2 linked regions of the Diceros bicornis minor genome follow. The protein of the gene in region 1 interacts with the protein of each later gene in a biochemical or structural test. Links are inferred from orthologs where the notes say so. Each region holds a gene or a part of one and is shown on either strand. Other genes may lie near its edges.

Region 1 (7,926 bases):
CTGTAGATACTGTAGATACTTAAGCAGTTTTGCAGGAGCATATAGAATGCTAAGGGATTCCTGAAGGTGTGGTTATAGGTCAGGTGCGCTAGGCCTATGCTTCTGTTCCTTAGAAGCAGAGACTGAGACAAGGATTTGGATCCATGTGATTTATTGAGGGGCATTCTCAGGAGAAATCTGTAAGGGAGGAAGTGAAGAAGGATAGGGAAAGGGGAAGAGCTGAGTAAGGATGTGGGCTTGGGGAAAATCAAGCCTTGGCCTGATCCTATAAGGAACACACTGGGGTCATCTGTCCCTTGAAGGAGGTCTTCTGTCACTCCTATCAGTTCTCACAGTTGTGGGTCTGGGGGAGGGGGTGGTGGTGTGGTCATTGCTTCCTGGAGCATCCCATCAATCTAGAGCAGTTGTTCTCACTTGTGGGCAATTTTGTCCCCTAGGAGACATTTGGCAAAGTCTGGAGATATTTGTGGTTGTCAAAACAGCAGAGCTGGTACTGGCACTGAGAAATTACAGGGCAGAAATGCTGCTAAACATCTTACAATGCACAGGATAGCCCCCCACAACAAAGAATTATCTGGCACCAAATACCCGAGGTGGAGAAACTCTGGGCTAGCACAATTCTTTGGAGAAAGAGTCAGGGGCAAGCCATTAACAGCGCTCGCTACTAGTGCCAGATGGACTCCTGGTTCTGTAAAGGGCATGTGGTCAGGGCATCAGAACAGAACATTCTGTAGATATCTTTTAGTTATGTGATGTTAAACAATGAAGGGAACTTGAGATGCTGGTCATTAACGTTCCCATGTGACCTGCATTTCATCTATGGAATGGAACTAGCATTTTGAAATATATGTTGCTAAACCCTTAGCTACACACAGCACAAAAACATTGTCAAAAAACTTACTGGAGTCAGCTATAACCTTTTCAGATTTTCTTCAGAACTTTATTGAGCTTGTGTAAATTGGAATTGGAAAAAAACCTACCTGAAATACCCATTACTGTGTTATGTTGTTGCCAACACTGCGCTCTTGAATAACTGTGACTTGAATGGGGTGAAGAATTGGTGCAAAGATTAAAAAATAGTTGTACTTAACTATAAAGGGGTTTAAAAAACACCAGTGTCAGACTCATGGTCTGCACTGTCTATATCCTGTTGTCACAATCCCTTAAACCTCTTTTACAATCCAGTATTTATCTGTAAGTTATCCATGAATTCATCCAAGCCCTCTTAGAAACAGTTTATAACTTGGAATTGCAAAACTCAGGATATCTAGTCCCATTGTGTTGGCTACCATTATATGAAAGGATAATTTTTTTCAAACTTCAAAATGTGTTATCTAGTTTGTATCCTAACTTTTGTATTTTTATTTTAGTTTTGTGATCTATGTTTATGATGCTATTACTAGTTTCATTTTTTTCTCTCTCAAAGTGAATCATTACCTGATCTCTTAAGACTTACAATCCTAACACTGATAAATAAGAAGGAGACAATTATATTACGATATTTTTGACAAAAAAATTAGTCAAATGGAAATATTGTAATGTTACATTAGGTGGAAAAAGTGAAAATATAGAGTGTGATACCATTTTTGTTTAAAAATCTTTCTATACTTTTATGAATAGAATAAAACTCTGAAAAGATGTATATCAAAATAGTAACAGTTGTTAAGGTGTAGTTTGTACGTTCTCTGTAAGATCCCATCACTTCCCCAAAATGGTTCAGAGAATGAACTAGAGTTATAAACAGCTTATTCAGGAAGCTATTTCCAACCGAGGTTAAAACTCTGTTCTTTGAGATAACAGTCTTACTCACCTATACGCATGCCACCTTCTGGAAACAAGGAGCATTTCACCATTAAAAGACTTCTCACAATAGAACTTGGTAACAAGGCTGAAATTGGAATTGTTTATAGAAAATATTTTTTAAATTTACCGTTTAATTTTGAATCTTGTGGATCACAATCAAGTTTGTTAGACCAGAGGAGGGGCTAATTTAATCTCATCAAAGATGGTAGGTTATATACTTGTCCTCAATAAATTGGCCACGGAAAAAACTATTTTCAAAATAGTGAAAAGCTATCCAAAAGTAAGCCTTAAGGAAATGGAAAAACAAACAAACAAAAAATACAACTTAGAGTGCTCAAAAAATGATGAAAAATTTCATTCCTGTTTGTTTTCCCTCTGAAGCAGAGTTAACATGAAATTTTGAAATACTGTATTTATTTTTAAGCAATGTCTGTATCTAGAAACATGAATTCAACTGGATCTATGAATCAATATTGGTATGTCTAAGAAAGTATCCAAGGAAAATAATAAAATAATGTTGCAGATTGACATTTATAGTGTGATAATGTACCCATGCATGCACACACAAACATAAAGTAACAGTGTACCCAGAAATGTATATAGACATATAGAAAGGTCTGCAAGGGTGGCCAGAGGGATTACCTTTGGGGAAGCAGAAGAGAGGATCAAAGTTGGACAGTAGTCAAGGGAACTTTAACTATTTTTTTAAAAAGAGAATGAACTTATAACTTGTGTAATTTACCACAAATTAGAAATACAAAAATAAAGTGAACTATAGCTTACAAACAAAACAAGAAAGCCCTGTTATATAGTTACAACTATCAGTATCTTGTGATACAGCAGATGCAATATGTATTTCTTATAAATAACAGCAGCAATGAACCATATAGTCTGTTTATGTGTTGTAATCCTGTGTGTGTGTGTGTGTGTGTGCGTGTGTGTGTTGCCAAACAGAATAAAATGTCCAGGAAGTGCACAGTCTACTTTGTAAACTGTTTTCAATTAGCGTTTCCTCATGCATAGCTCAGCTTTAGCCTCGGTTAATTCTCTGGCATTAATAATTTAAAAATATTAATGCTTGTGACCTACAGGAATGAGGTCCCATGCCAGATGTAAAGACTCTTTCTAGAGCTAATTTGGAATGATCCAGCCAAAGGCCTATCTCAAGAGACCTTTTGAGAGCTTTACTAATTCCAAGTTTGCACCAATTCATTTTCAATATCGAATGCCTATTATTTGTAAGGCTCAGTATGGTCTAAAGCAAGGAGTCTTTTTTTTTTTTTTTTTTTTTTATTTTTCCCCCATAGCCCCAGTAGATAGTTGTATGTCATAGGTGCACATCCTTCTAGTTGCTGTATATGGGACGCGGCCTCACCATGGCCGGAGAAGCAGTGCGTCAGTGTGCGCCCGGGATCCGAACCCGGGCCACCAGTAGCGGAGCGCGCACTTGACCGCTAAGCCATGGGGCCGGCCCAAGCAAGGAGTCTTGATCTCAGAATGTGAACAAGTTGGGTAGGTGGTAATATTAGAATGAGTCAGCTCTGTAATATTTTAGAGCCTGGGTTCAGGAATCAGACTCACTTGGGTTTCAATTCCCATTTCACCACTCACTAGCTATGTAATCTTGTGCAAACCATGGGGATATGTAATGCCTACTGTATAGAGCTATCAGGAGGGGAAAATGAGATCATTATTAAGGATTTGGTGCAGTGTTGGCACATAGTAAGTATTCAACTAATCCCTCTGCTACCCAAGGACTGGATGAATGTGTAAAGAGTACTCTTCAAATTGTTTTACACATAACCTCTTATTTTATCTTTACCAAAACTCTCAGATTTAAGCAGAGTGGTTTTTGTTTTGAAATTTTTATTTTATTTGCTCCTGTTAATATGCTTTTCTGAGACCTAATTAATTTTCAAGACTCATTAAAAACTGGAGGTTGAAAAGGCTTTTGAGGTTATCTGGTCCACTGTCCCAGGAGATGACTTTCACCCCTTTTCCATTGACATTTAAAGCCAGGAAATAAACACTATTTCCTGGACTATTCTAGTTACTGGTGAAATAAAAGGAAATAAAATAAGAGGGAAGGAAGGCCAAGGGAATATGTAGGGGAAGAGGGAGACTAGTGGGAGAGGCATTGGGAAAGCACGAGGAGCACAGACTAAAGGGGGTAAATGCAAGGAAGAGAAGGAAAAGAGACAAAAAAGAGGACCTTGAACAAGTGCAAGGAGAAGAGGGAGAAAAGCGAAAGAGGGGCGAGTACAGAGGCACTGCAGTTTGTCACTGCAGGCATCAACAGGGTTTAAGAGTCGGACGTTCTGGGTTCTGATAATTGTAAAATGCATGAGTATAAGACATTGCTTAACCTCTCCGAGTCGTGTTCGTCGGAGTTTGTAGCGCAGATTAAATGAGATTAGTGGGATGGACGCGCTGTAAACGAGAGAACTCTACTCAAATAAGGAATTAGGAAGGAGAGAGAAAGTGGCAGAAAAAGAGAGTGAGAGTGAGAGGGATGTAGAGGAGGAGAGGAAAGGGAAAGGGAGGAGAGAGAAATCGGCAGAGAAGGACGGAGAGGGAGAAAGGGGAATTGTTGACAAGGCAGGTGAGAACTAAGGAAAACCGCAGTAACGCTGCTGTGGCTACTGCGGTGACTGCTCGAACACATCTAGCACTGACGACTTGCCAGGTACGTTGTGAGAGCTTTACATTCATAATTTCATGTTATCCTCACAACCTCTCTATGGGGCTAGGTTCTTGTATGATCTTCATTTTATAGGAGAGATATCTGAAACACAGAGAGGTTTTGGAACTTTCCAAGGTCTTACAGCTGGGAAGTGGCCGAGAAGGCATGAACCGCAGGTCTATCTGCAAAGCCAATGCCTGTTAAAATCATCTCTAAGAACCTCGAGAGACGTTTGGTGGGTCTCAGGCGGACTCTTGTCCCGGTTCTTCCAAATTACGCCCTCGGTTCAATTCCAGCGCACAAAGCCCCACTCGCCACGCCCTTTCTCCACCTCTCCACTAACAGCGTCCTGTCTCCATGGAGATCGGCGTGGGGCGGGACTTCCTCTCTCACGCACGAGCACTTCCGCCTCTATCCGGAAGCGCCGTGGCTAACAGAACAGGTACCAGCGCGTGGGGGCTTCTTGCAGAGTTTGAGTGGCGGGACTGCGGGGGCAGTGAGAGTGACCGACTTGGGCACCTGAGTCCGGTGCGGTGATGCTGACCCCTGCCTTCGACCTCAGCCAGGACTCCGACTTCCTGACTGTCGCCATCCGCGTGCCCTACGCTCGGGTCTCCGAGTTCGACGTCTACTTCGAGGGGGTGGACTTTAAGTTCTACGCCAAGCCGTACTTTCTCAGGCGAGTTCTGGGTGTCCGGCCAGGGGAAGAGCGTATTTTGGGGATTCATTCATTCATTAGATGACTGCTTATCGAGGGAGGATGAAAAGGCGAGGGAGCGCGTCTCTATTTCACGGCTGCCCTTTCCGAGATCTCCGCGGCTTCTTTCGGTGCTGAGGAAGTGCCCTCTTCCAGGCGTGCGCTCTGGATGCTGCAGAAGCTCGTTGCCTTTTGAAGCCTTCTTAAATTCCCACATTAAAGAGATTTCGGAGCCATTTAAAACCTTGGCGTTTGGGACCATGTCACCTTCCTTTTCTGTTCTTTTTTTTCCTTGCCCCGGCACAGCGTGCGCTGACCTCCCGGCTGCCCAGTCCCTTTGACTTTTCTCAGTCCACGTTGTTTATTGACCTCTTGGCTGACCGCTCCCTACTTCCTGAAATTCTCGCCTTCCTTGACCCCCCTTGACACCGAAGTAGCCTCATTCTCCTGCCTCCTCGTCGTCTGCTACTTCTCTGTTTGGTTTTGTCCCTTAATTGTGGTTGTGAGGGGCCTTCAGCGCTTGTCTGTCTGCGTTTTCTCCCTGGAAAACCGTAACAATAGTAGTAACAGCTAACGGTTACTGCTCACCTTCCATGGGGCGAACAAGCAACGCATTAAGTGCTTTATGTGCATTATTTCATTTAATCTTGACAGTGACTCTTGGAGGTAGGCGTTAGCCCCATTTTACAGAGGACACAGTTCGTCCTAAACATTGTCAGTCCGTTGCCCCCACCCCTTTCCTACGAGGGAACATCCCTTCTCCTAATCTTTCGCGTTCAAGTGTAGCTCCAGCCGGCCTTTCCTGCCCAGTACTTTCCTAATACAAACCTTCCTCTTGAGTCAAGCTGGTTCCCTCACTGGGCCTCAACCGGTTTTGCTCATATTGCCATTAGGACCTAATGTAATCCACCTACTTAATAAAATATACTGCATTTCCCTATTTCTTTAATCATTTATTTGTTTGATTTATTTATCAAGCTCATGGTATATACTAGGCTCTGTTTTTGTTATTGGGCGTGTAGTGGGGCCTCATGTGGTTTATAATTTTATTTATTTATTTATTTTTCCCCCAAAGCCCTAGCTGCACATCCTTCTAGTTGCTGTATGTGGGACACGGCCTCAGCATGGCCGGAGAAGCAGTGCGTCGGTGTGAGCCCAGGATCCGAACCCCGGGCCGCCAGCAGTGGAGTGCGTGCACCCAACCGCTAAGCCACGGGGCCGTCCCGGCCTCATGTAGTTTACATTCTAGTGGGAAGAGAAAAATAGTAAACAAATAAGTAAACATATAACTAAAACGAAATAAACATATTTCTAAAAAGAAATAAAGTGCACTGAGGGAGAGTAAAAGAGAGCCCGTTTTTATCTAAAGTGGCCAGGGAAAGCCTTTCTGAAGAGGTGATATTTAAGCCAAGACATGAAGAATGGGAAGAAGATGTTGATGGTGATAGCAAATATTTATTGAATTTTTACACCAGGTTTATGTTATTCTTTATGTGGATTATCTCGTTTGGTTTTAGCATATCCTACAAAGTATGTTCTATTATTTACTCATGTTACAGATGAGAAATCAGAGGCTCAGAGAAAAGTTCTTAAATGAGATAGGATTGTAAAATAAAATAAGTACAATAAAATAAAAATTTCAAAGTAAAAGCCACTGTGTGTAAGTTGGGGAGTTTTGATGAAGACAGAATACGAGGTTATGTATGAAACAGTTTAAAGAGTTCTCTTCACAGATTTGTCCATTCCTTGGGTAGCAGAGGCTTGGGAATTGGGCACAACTGGATCTTGGCACGCTGACAGTTCTATGACTTTGGGCAAGTAATTCAGTCTCAGTTTCGTAATCTATAAAATGGGACTAATATTTGTGATCTTAAAGAATTGATGTCAGGGTTGAGCTGGTGCCTGCATAGTCCTTATTATCATGGCTGGTAATTAACCATGCATTCAATAAATAGTAGGTATTAGTATTTATTAAGGGCCTGCTGTTCCAGTTATTTGTTGCTGCATAACCAGTCAAACTTGAAGATGTAAAACAGCAATCATTTAACTCCCTGTCCTGGTTTTTGTGTGTCAGGAATTTGGTAAGGGCTTGGCTGGGCTGTTCTGCCTTGATGTCTTTAATACAGTTGTGGTGACATGGTGGCAGGACCTGGAACCACAAGCGCCTAAGCAGCTGGGGACTAGTGGGGTGAGGGAGGAGGGCACCTCTCTTCATGTAGTTTCAGGACCTCCCTGTGTGGTCTCTTTGCAGGGTCTAGTTTTGATTCCTTTGAGGAGTTGGACCTCTAACAGGGTAGCTTGAAGGTTTCGAGAGTGAGTATTCCCAGTGAGCAAGGCAGAATCTATATCACCTTTTATGACCTAACCTCAGAAATCACAGTGTCATCTCTGCTTTATTGTATTGCTTAAAACAGTTCCAGAAGCCCATTCAGTTTTAAGGGGAGGGGACATAGACCACACTGTTGGGAGGAGTGATGTGAGATGGGCCATCTTTGAGAATGCAGTTTGCTACAGTACACGAAAGATTAATAAAATCTCGCCTCTCTCTTTGAGGAATCAAGAGTCTAACAGGGGAGGCAGATCTGTGAACAAATATGAGTTCACTATTACACGGTAAGAATCTAGCCCCATACTTAGAGAGTTTAGGAGAAGGGAGTTGATAATAACAGCTTACATCTTCTGAATGTTCACCAACTGTACCAGCCAGTAAGCTCTTTGTATTATCATCTCCTTCTCTCAGTAA
Region 2 (7,669 bases), on another chromosome or scaffold:
ACATCCTACTTAATGGTGAAAAACTGGACACTTTCCCCCTAAGATTGAGAACAAGGCAAGGATATCTGCTCTCACTACTCTTATTCAATGTAGTATTGGAAGTTCTAGCCAGTGCAACAGGGCGAAAAAAAAAAAAAAGAAATAAATAAAAGGCACACAGATTGGGAAGGAAGAAATAAAACTGTCTCAATTTACAGATGATATAATTGTCCTCATAGAAAATCCCAAGGAATCTACAGAAAAAAGTCCCATATAATAAGTGAGTTTTACAAGGTTGCAGGACACAAGATCACCACATAAATCTCTTCACACAATTTCAAGGCTTATTATACAGCTACAGTAATCCAGACTGAGTGATATTGGTAGAGGAATAGATATAGATAAATGGAATGGAATGGAGAACCCAGAAATAGACCCACATAAATTCACCCAACTATTTTTTGACAAAGTTACCTTTTGTACCTTTGAATTGCAAAGGTACAAAAGCAATTCAATGGAGGAAGGATAGTCTTTTCAACAAATGGTGCTGAAGCAATTGGACATCCATAGCCCAAAAAAGAAAAAGAAAAAGAAATTTAACCCAAACCTCACACCTTATACAAAAAATTAACTCAAAGTGGATCATATATTTATATGCAAAATGTAAAACTATAAAACTCTTAGAAGACAACATAGGAGAAAATATTTGAGACCTAGGACCTGGTGATGAGTTCCTAGACATGATACCAAAAGCACAATCCATAGAAGAAAAAAATTGATAAACTGGGCTTCATAAAAATTAAAACTTTTGCTCTACAAAATACCTTGTTAAGAGTATAAAAAGACAAGCTACAGACTGGGAGAAAATGTTTGCAAATCGTATATCTGCCAAAGGACTCATAACAAGAATACACAAAGAACTCTCAAAACTCAATAGCAAAAAACAAACACTAATAATCCAATTAGAAAATGGGTAAAGGATATAAAGAGACATTTCACTGAAGAGGATATACAGATAGCAAATAAACTTGTGGAAAGATGTTCAGTATCATTAGCCATTAGGGCAATGCATATTAAAACCACAATGAGATACCATTACATACCTATCAGAATGGCTAAAATTTAAAAAATCAGCAGAATCCTCACATTGATTTCCTGACCCATGGAATGACCCAATCACGGCAGAAAGGCCCAAGTGGCAACCCCTGGAGCTCCACCTTCCTACCAGAGTACAAATCAAAAGAAATATCACATACTTAGGGGACAATGTCAGAAACCAGTTCCATCATCAAAGACTTGAAGAATGCCAGGAAGGAAATTCCTGTCACATTCCCATTTAATTCACCAGTTTGGCCTTCACAGCAGTTGGTTGGGTCTTGCTGAATCTGGCAGTTTTAAACCAGGGCTACAAAATTCTTTGACACTCCTCTCATTGAGAGGTGGGGTTGATGACTCCTCCCCTTGAACCTGGGTAGGCTTGTGACTGCTTCAACCATACAATACAGCAGAAATGATGCTATGAGACTTTCAAGGCCAAGCCACAAAAGATTATGCAGGTTTATGCCTTCTCCACTCTAACATTTGCTTTTGAGCCTTGAGCCACCAAGTATGGAGTCTGACTACTTTGAGGCTGCCATGCTGTAAGGAAGTCCAAGCCACGTGGAGAGGCCGTATGTAAGCAGGTGCTCCTGTCCAGTGAAACTCAGCCTTTCAGCTGAATTCTCAGCATAATCAGAATCTGTCAGCATAATAAAATGGTTGTTTAATGACACTAAGTTTGGGAATGTTTTGTTATTCAGCTGACAGATTACGTCAAGAAATTCCAACAGGGCACAGTGAGAATGTCTTCTCTCTGCTCCATAATACCTGTGGTCTTAGCTGAGATGATTCAATGGCTGGGGGTGACCAGATGGCTGAAGGCTATAATCTTATGGAAGCTTCCTCACTCGTATGCCTGTTGCCTGTACTAGGATGCCTATTCTGGCTATTTCATATGAGTGGAATCATACAATATTTGTCCCTGTGTGTCTGGCTTATTTCATTTAGCATGATGTTTTCAAGGTTCATCCATGTTGTAGCATGTATCAGTACTTCATTCTTTTTTGTGACTGAATAATATTCCATTGTATGGCTATACCACATTTTGTTTGTCCCTTCATCTTTAGATGGACATTTGGGTTGTCTCTGCCTTTTGGCTATTGTGAATAATGCTGCTATGAATATACGTGTACAAGCATCTGTTTAAACATCTATTTTCAATTTTCTTGGGTATATACACCTAGGAGTGGAATTGCTGAGTCATATGGCAACTCTATATTTAACCTTTTGAGGAACTGCCAGACTGTTTTCCCCAGAAGCTGTACCATTGTACTTGATGGTGGAGTGCTGCTGCTCATGCCTGACTTGATAACTTGGTCAGTCAAACAATACCCAGTTCATGATGTGTAGCTCAGTTCTTAAGATCATTTGTATCACATAGTCATTCAGTTTCAGTAAAGGGCTAAAGCAAGTCAGGGGCTTTTCCTCCCAGCAAATTGTGTGTGTGTGTGTGTGTGTGTGTGTGTGTGTGTGTGTGTGTGTAGGTCTTAGCTTTATTTTTATCTCCAATTCCAGAGGCCTCAGCTGTGATTCTCTTATCTAGGTTTGGAAAAGGCTCTGTGTACCATCCTAATGGGTATGCCACCTCCAGAAAGAGGCCCACTAAGCATCGTGCTTCTTTCTTAGGAGGAGTGGGTTCAAGGTACAGCAACTTGGTCTTCTCTTCTGTCTGTCTGTCTTTGCCCTTCTCATCCAAGGACAATTGTCATTGGATTTGGGGTCCACCTGATGATCTCATGTCGAGATCCTTAACTTAATTACATCTACAAAGATCCTTTTTCCAAACAAGGTCACATTCCTAGGGTCCAGGGGTTAGGACATATGTTTTGGTGAGGAAGATTGGTTCTGAGCTAACATCTGTTGCCAATCTTCCTCTTTTTGTATGTGGGAGGCTGACACAGCAGGGCTTGATGTATGTCCCCACCCAGGATCCAAACCCACGAACCCCGGGCTGCCAAAGCAGAGCTCACAAACTTAACCACTATGCCAACAGGCCAGTTGGGGGGGCTACTCTTTACTCCACTACAGATGGGAAGCCACTGAAGGGCTTTGAGCAGAGGAGGAACATTACAGTTTAATGGCTCTTTCCAGCTGCTGTGTCGAGAAGACACTACAGTTAGAAAAAGTAGAAGCAGGGGAAACAGCAGATGGCCACTGGAAAAATCTAGGAGAGCCATAATGATGGCATGGACTACAGTGACAGCAGTGAGGGTAGTGAAAAACCATCAGATTCTGGATTTCTTTTGAAAGCAAAGCTGACAGGCTTTGCTAACAGATTGGATGAGGAGTATTGGAGAAAGATGAAGCCTATATGAGTACTATTGATGAATACCTCAAAATTATTCAGCCAAATATGTACCAATGAAGCATTATAAAATAATGGGGGAAGTAATGAACTCCAGATGGATTGGTTGATACTGGCGATTTTGGTTATCTACAAAATGTCAGTTTAGATGATTATTGCCTTGGCATACACCAAAATAAATTCTAGATAGAATAAAAAAGCTAAATAAGGAAAAACCAATCATCTATTTTAACCCCAGTAAAATAAAACTGAAAAATTTCTAATTTTTGGATGGCAAAGGAGGAACGGAAGAAAAGCAAAGTCATTGGAAAAGATAACGGCAAAAGATTCCATTTACAATCGCAATAAAGAATTAAGTAACTAGGGATTAATCAAGTCCACCGAGGCTAGGTTAGGAGCCCCCGCTTGAGAGAGAGAAGAGTGAGAAGAGCACCAAAGACAGAAGGGAAGAGGGCTTGAACCAACAGCTGCTACTTCCTGGCTGTCCAATACTGCAGCCACTAGCTAACTGTGACTATTGAGCTCTTGACATGGAGCCCCGTCGTGGAGTTCAAAGCGAGGTGCGCTGTAAGTGTAAAACACACACAGGAAAGACTTGGTACGAAAGAAAAAGAATGTAAAATATCCCATTCATAATGGTGTATAATGGTCGTGTTGAAATGTGTTGAAATGGTAATATTTCGGATCGGTGGGTTAAATAAAATTCATTATTAAAATCATTTTCATCTTTTTCTTTTAACTTTTTTTCCACGTGGCTGCTGGAAAATTGAAAAGCCCACAAGTGGCTCGCACTCTATTCCTATCGGCCAGCGCCGCTCTAGCTGGATGGGAACTGCAAGCAGCAGAGTGCTTTCAACTTCTCTGTGCCTCGACAGCTTAATTTTTCAATCGGGACTGATCCGACACCAACCTTCAACGGTCGGCGAGAGGAAGCAACGAGCTACTGCTAACAGAGCGCTCAGCCAAGCGTCTAAGTGCCCAAGACGGGCTTAAACGCAGCTAAGGTGTGCGAACTGCGGCCGGGGCCACGCCCACAGGCTACGGGCAGCAGGGGCGGCCTGCGCATGCGCTCCCAGGCTGAGCCGCTGGGGGCGGGGACGCGGCACAATGCGCACGCGCGTTCGCACAACCTCAGGGGCCCAGCCAGCCAATGAGATTGTGCGTGCGCGCTTCGGCCTCTGACCGCCCCCCCACCCCCGCAGCCTGGCCCCGCCCCCCCCCGCCCCCCCCGTGCGGTACGCACAGGGTGGCGCACAGGTGGGCGGGGCCTAGCGGCGTGGCCTGACGGCGGCGGGAGTCTGTGGTCGCTCTCTCGGCCGTGGCCCACGCGGCTGGCTCGCTCTGCGGGGCAACATGGCGGACACGGAAGGTAAGGGTCGTTCCCTCGCGGGTGGCCGGGTCAAGTGCCCCGGGCTGGAACCAGCTCCGCAGGCTGAGAGAGCCGGGAGTGGTGGGGTATGGCGTCGGGTCCCGAGTTCTCCGCTAGCTCCAGCCGCCGGGCCGACCCCCTCGCCGCTGGGCCTCTTGCCGCCCTTGCCTCTTGGCCCTGGCTCCACGGGGGAGGGCAAGAGAGCGAGAAGCCCTGGCGGTGAAGTGGCGCCGCGAGGCCGGGATCTCCCGCGGATGGCACAGCCCCCTTAGGGCCCTGGTCGTCGTCGGCCGTGCCGGCGACCTCGCGGTGGCGGGAGACCTGGTAGTATCTGTGCCGCCGCCGCCAGCCCGGACGCCGCAGTCAGCGCCAGGCGATGAGGGGAGGAAAGAATGGTGGGAACAGGCGGGAAAAAAAGGGGCGAGGGGCGCGGGCGTAGCTCTGAGTCGTAAGCAAGTTCTAGACGCCAAAAGCTCTGGGGGATAGTTGAGCACTCATTTATGGAACTTTCTGGCCCACGGCTCGAGCGCTTCTGCAGCACGTTTAAGCCCCGCCAGGGCCACGTGGTGAACCGGAATGGAAGCCGACACGTGCGACTGCTTGCAGTAGCTAACCGAGCCATGCAACCCACGCGTTTGGTCTTACACACTTTGTTTTCTCTAGTAATTCTAGACCAAACATCCATTTTCTACCTGCCCTGATTTCATTTTCTAATTTAAACTTTGTTGCCTTTATTTTCGGGGAAAACTTCCAAATCTTGTGTTTTTTTAGTATTTATTTTGCCGAAAAAGCATAAGAAGAAAAAGGAGCGGAAGTCGTTACCAGAAGAAGATGTAGCAGTGAGTAGGAATACGTTTTACTTTGCTTGGACTAAAAAATGTTCCTTAGATAACAAATTACAGAAAAGAACTGCTTTTAAAGGTTTCTAAGGAATGGGCTGGAATTGGTTGGTTGTTGTGTAGAAACTGCACAACCCCAGCCAACTTAGAGTCTGTCCGGTCAGGTGTAGTTTGCTCTCTCACCTGTAGACCCACCATCCCTCTTGCTCTTTAAATAGCAGTACCTATCTTGGTGGTACTTCACTTACCATTTTAAGATCCTAGTTCATTTCTTCTCTTTCCCATGGAGGTTCCAGGGAAGAAGCATAGACTACTTTGTTTTCTGTTTTAAAGGCATAGACTTCTGTGGTAGTAATGGAATTGTTCAAAATCAGATGGGAAGTCTAATAGGGTGTATTTTTGTCCTGTGCAAGGAAATACAGCATGCTGAAGAATTTCTTATCAAACCTGAATCCAAAGTGGCTCAATTGGACACATCTCAGTGGCCCCTGTTGCTAAAGGTATGTGGTTAAGATTATGCATCAGGTCAGTGCCTGGCTTTTACATTATGTCTAAGTGTTAAATAGTTAAGAGTGCTTAATGCCAGCATTGTTGACTTAGGAAATACTATATGATACAGTCTAAAGCAGTGTTCCTCAAGGTGTCTGGGATGAAGGACCAGGTTATTTTTTTTTCTTTTTCAATGGATCTAACACTGTTGTAGAATACAGTTAAGATGTCGCAGCAACGTCAAAGTGCTATCAAAGTTCATAAACAATTATTTCTTGGTTTCTGTACCTAACTCCACCTCACAGACCTGTACCAGTTTGTGGGCCACACTTGGAATAGGACTGCTTTAATACTTGAGAGCATGGGCTTTGAAGCCAGACCAGTTTGAGTCAGGCAGTATGTGACCTTGGGCAGTCATTTAACCTCTCTGAGGCTGTTTGCTCATATCTTCTCTTAGGAAGGCAAGCTGAGGGCTGCAGGAGGTAATCCATGAAAGGTGTTTAGCCACAGTGCCTGGCATGTAACATGTCCCCTAGAAATTATTGACTGTTGATTGGGTTTTAAATAGGGTAGTCAGTAATGAGGTGAATTAGAAGTTTCGCAAACGACTTAATGGGCACCTGCTATGAGATTAGAAGGACAAGTTAGAGTAGAAAAAGTTATTGAGACACCCCTTGACAAAGTGTTTTAATAAACCAATGGATATGAGGTAAAAGAGTGAGATTTGCTTATATAATTCAACACAGTTGAGTTTCTGCTTGGCCAGACATGTCTGCCATTTAGATAGCATCTGCTTTTCTTTTTTTTTTTTAACTTATTTATTTTTAATTTTATTTATTTATTTGTCCCCCAAAGCCCCAGTAGATGGTTGCGTGTCATAGCTGCACATCCTTCTAGTTGCTGTATGTGGGACGCGGCCTCAGCATGGCCAGAGAAGTGTTGCGTTGGTGCTCGCCCGGGATCCGAACCCGGGCCGCCAGTAGCAGAGTGCACGCACTTAACCGCTAAGCCACAGGGCCGGCCCACATCTGCTTTTCTATTGTAGGCCCTGGGGATATGCTAGTGAACAAAATAGACAATGTCTTTACTGTCGTGAAACTTAAAATCTAGGAATGGGAGAGAGTTAAAAAATAATTGCTATTTGTGTGTAAGTACCATGATGAAACTAAACTGGGTGATAGAAAAGATGGGCTTCAATTGAGGGGAGATCTTTCAGACCAGTGGTGTCCAGCCTCAAGCCTTGGAAAGGAGGAGAATGAAAAGGAGCACAGATCGGAGCATCTGAAGCAAGAACAAGTTGGTCATGTTTGAGAAACATTGTTGCCAGTCCACCTCAGTTTGGTTATCTTGTCCCTGAGAAAATCAAAGCTAGTCCATATTTTATTCATAAGGCCGCACAGTGAAGCCTAGTCTGTTCTGTAGTACCCCAAGAAGTCTCTTTCTAGAGGAGTGATCAAATTTGTCTTATTCTTACTCATAATGGGTAATTTTTCCTGAATATAAGGAGGCTTAACAGTGTCACAGCAGATAATTAAAATATAGGAGCAAAATCCAAGTTTATGAACTTGAAGGGTAACCATATCATGGTTG

Evidence for each region. The genes of interacting proteins can lie anywhere in the genome.
Region 2: the proteins of SHQ1 (region 1) and DKC1 are reported together in a solved structure, tested with the Homo sapiens proteins (2 studies listed by BioGRID, with this or other methods). The link is inferred for Diceros bicornis minor from reciprocal best matches to the Homo sapiens genes SHQ1 and DKC1.

The regions. Positions count from the first base shown.
Region 1 is NC_080741.1:70,968,751-70,976,676, reverse strand, and holds the start of SHQ1 (protein SHQ1 homolog), read left to right. Parts: upstream 1-4,916; 5' UTR 4,917-5,022; coding exon 5,023-5,165; intron 5,166-5,712; exon of another isoform or gene 5,713-7,796; intron 7,797-7,926. UniProt on the Homo sapiens protein: Required for the quantitative accumulation of H/ACA ribonucleoproteins (RNPs), including telomerase, probably through the stabilization of DKC1, from the time of its synthesis until its association with NOP10, NHP2, and NAF1 at the nascent H/ACA RNA.
Region 2 is NC_080781.1:139,221,011-139,228,679, reverse strand, and holds the start of DKC1 (H/ACA ribonucleoprotein complex subunit DKC1), read left to right. Parts: upstream 1-4,653; 5' UTR 4,654-4,735; coding exon 4,736-4,751; intron 4,752-5,522; coding exon 5,523-5,590; intron 5,591-6,003; coding exon 6,004-6,090; intron 6,091-7,669.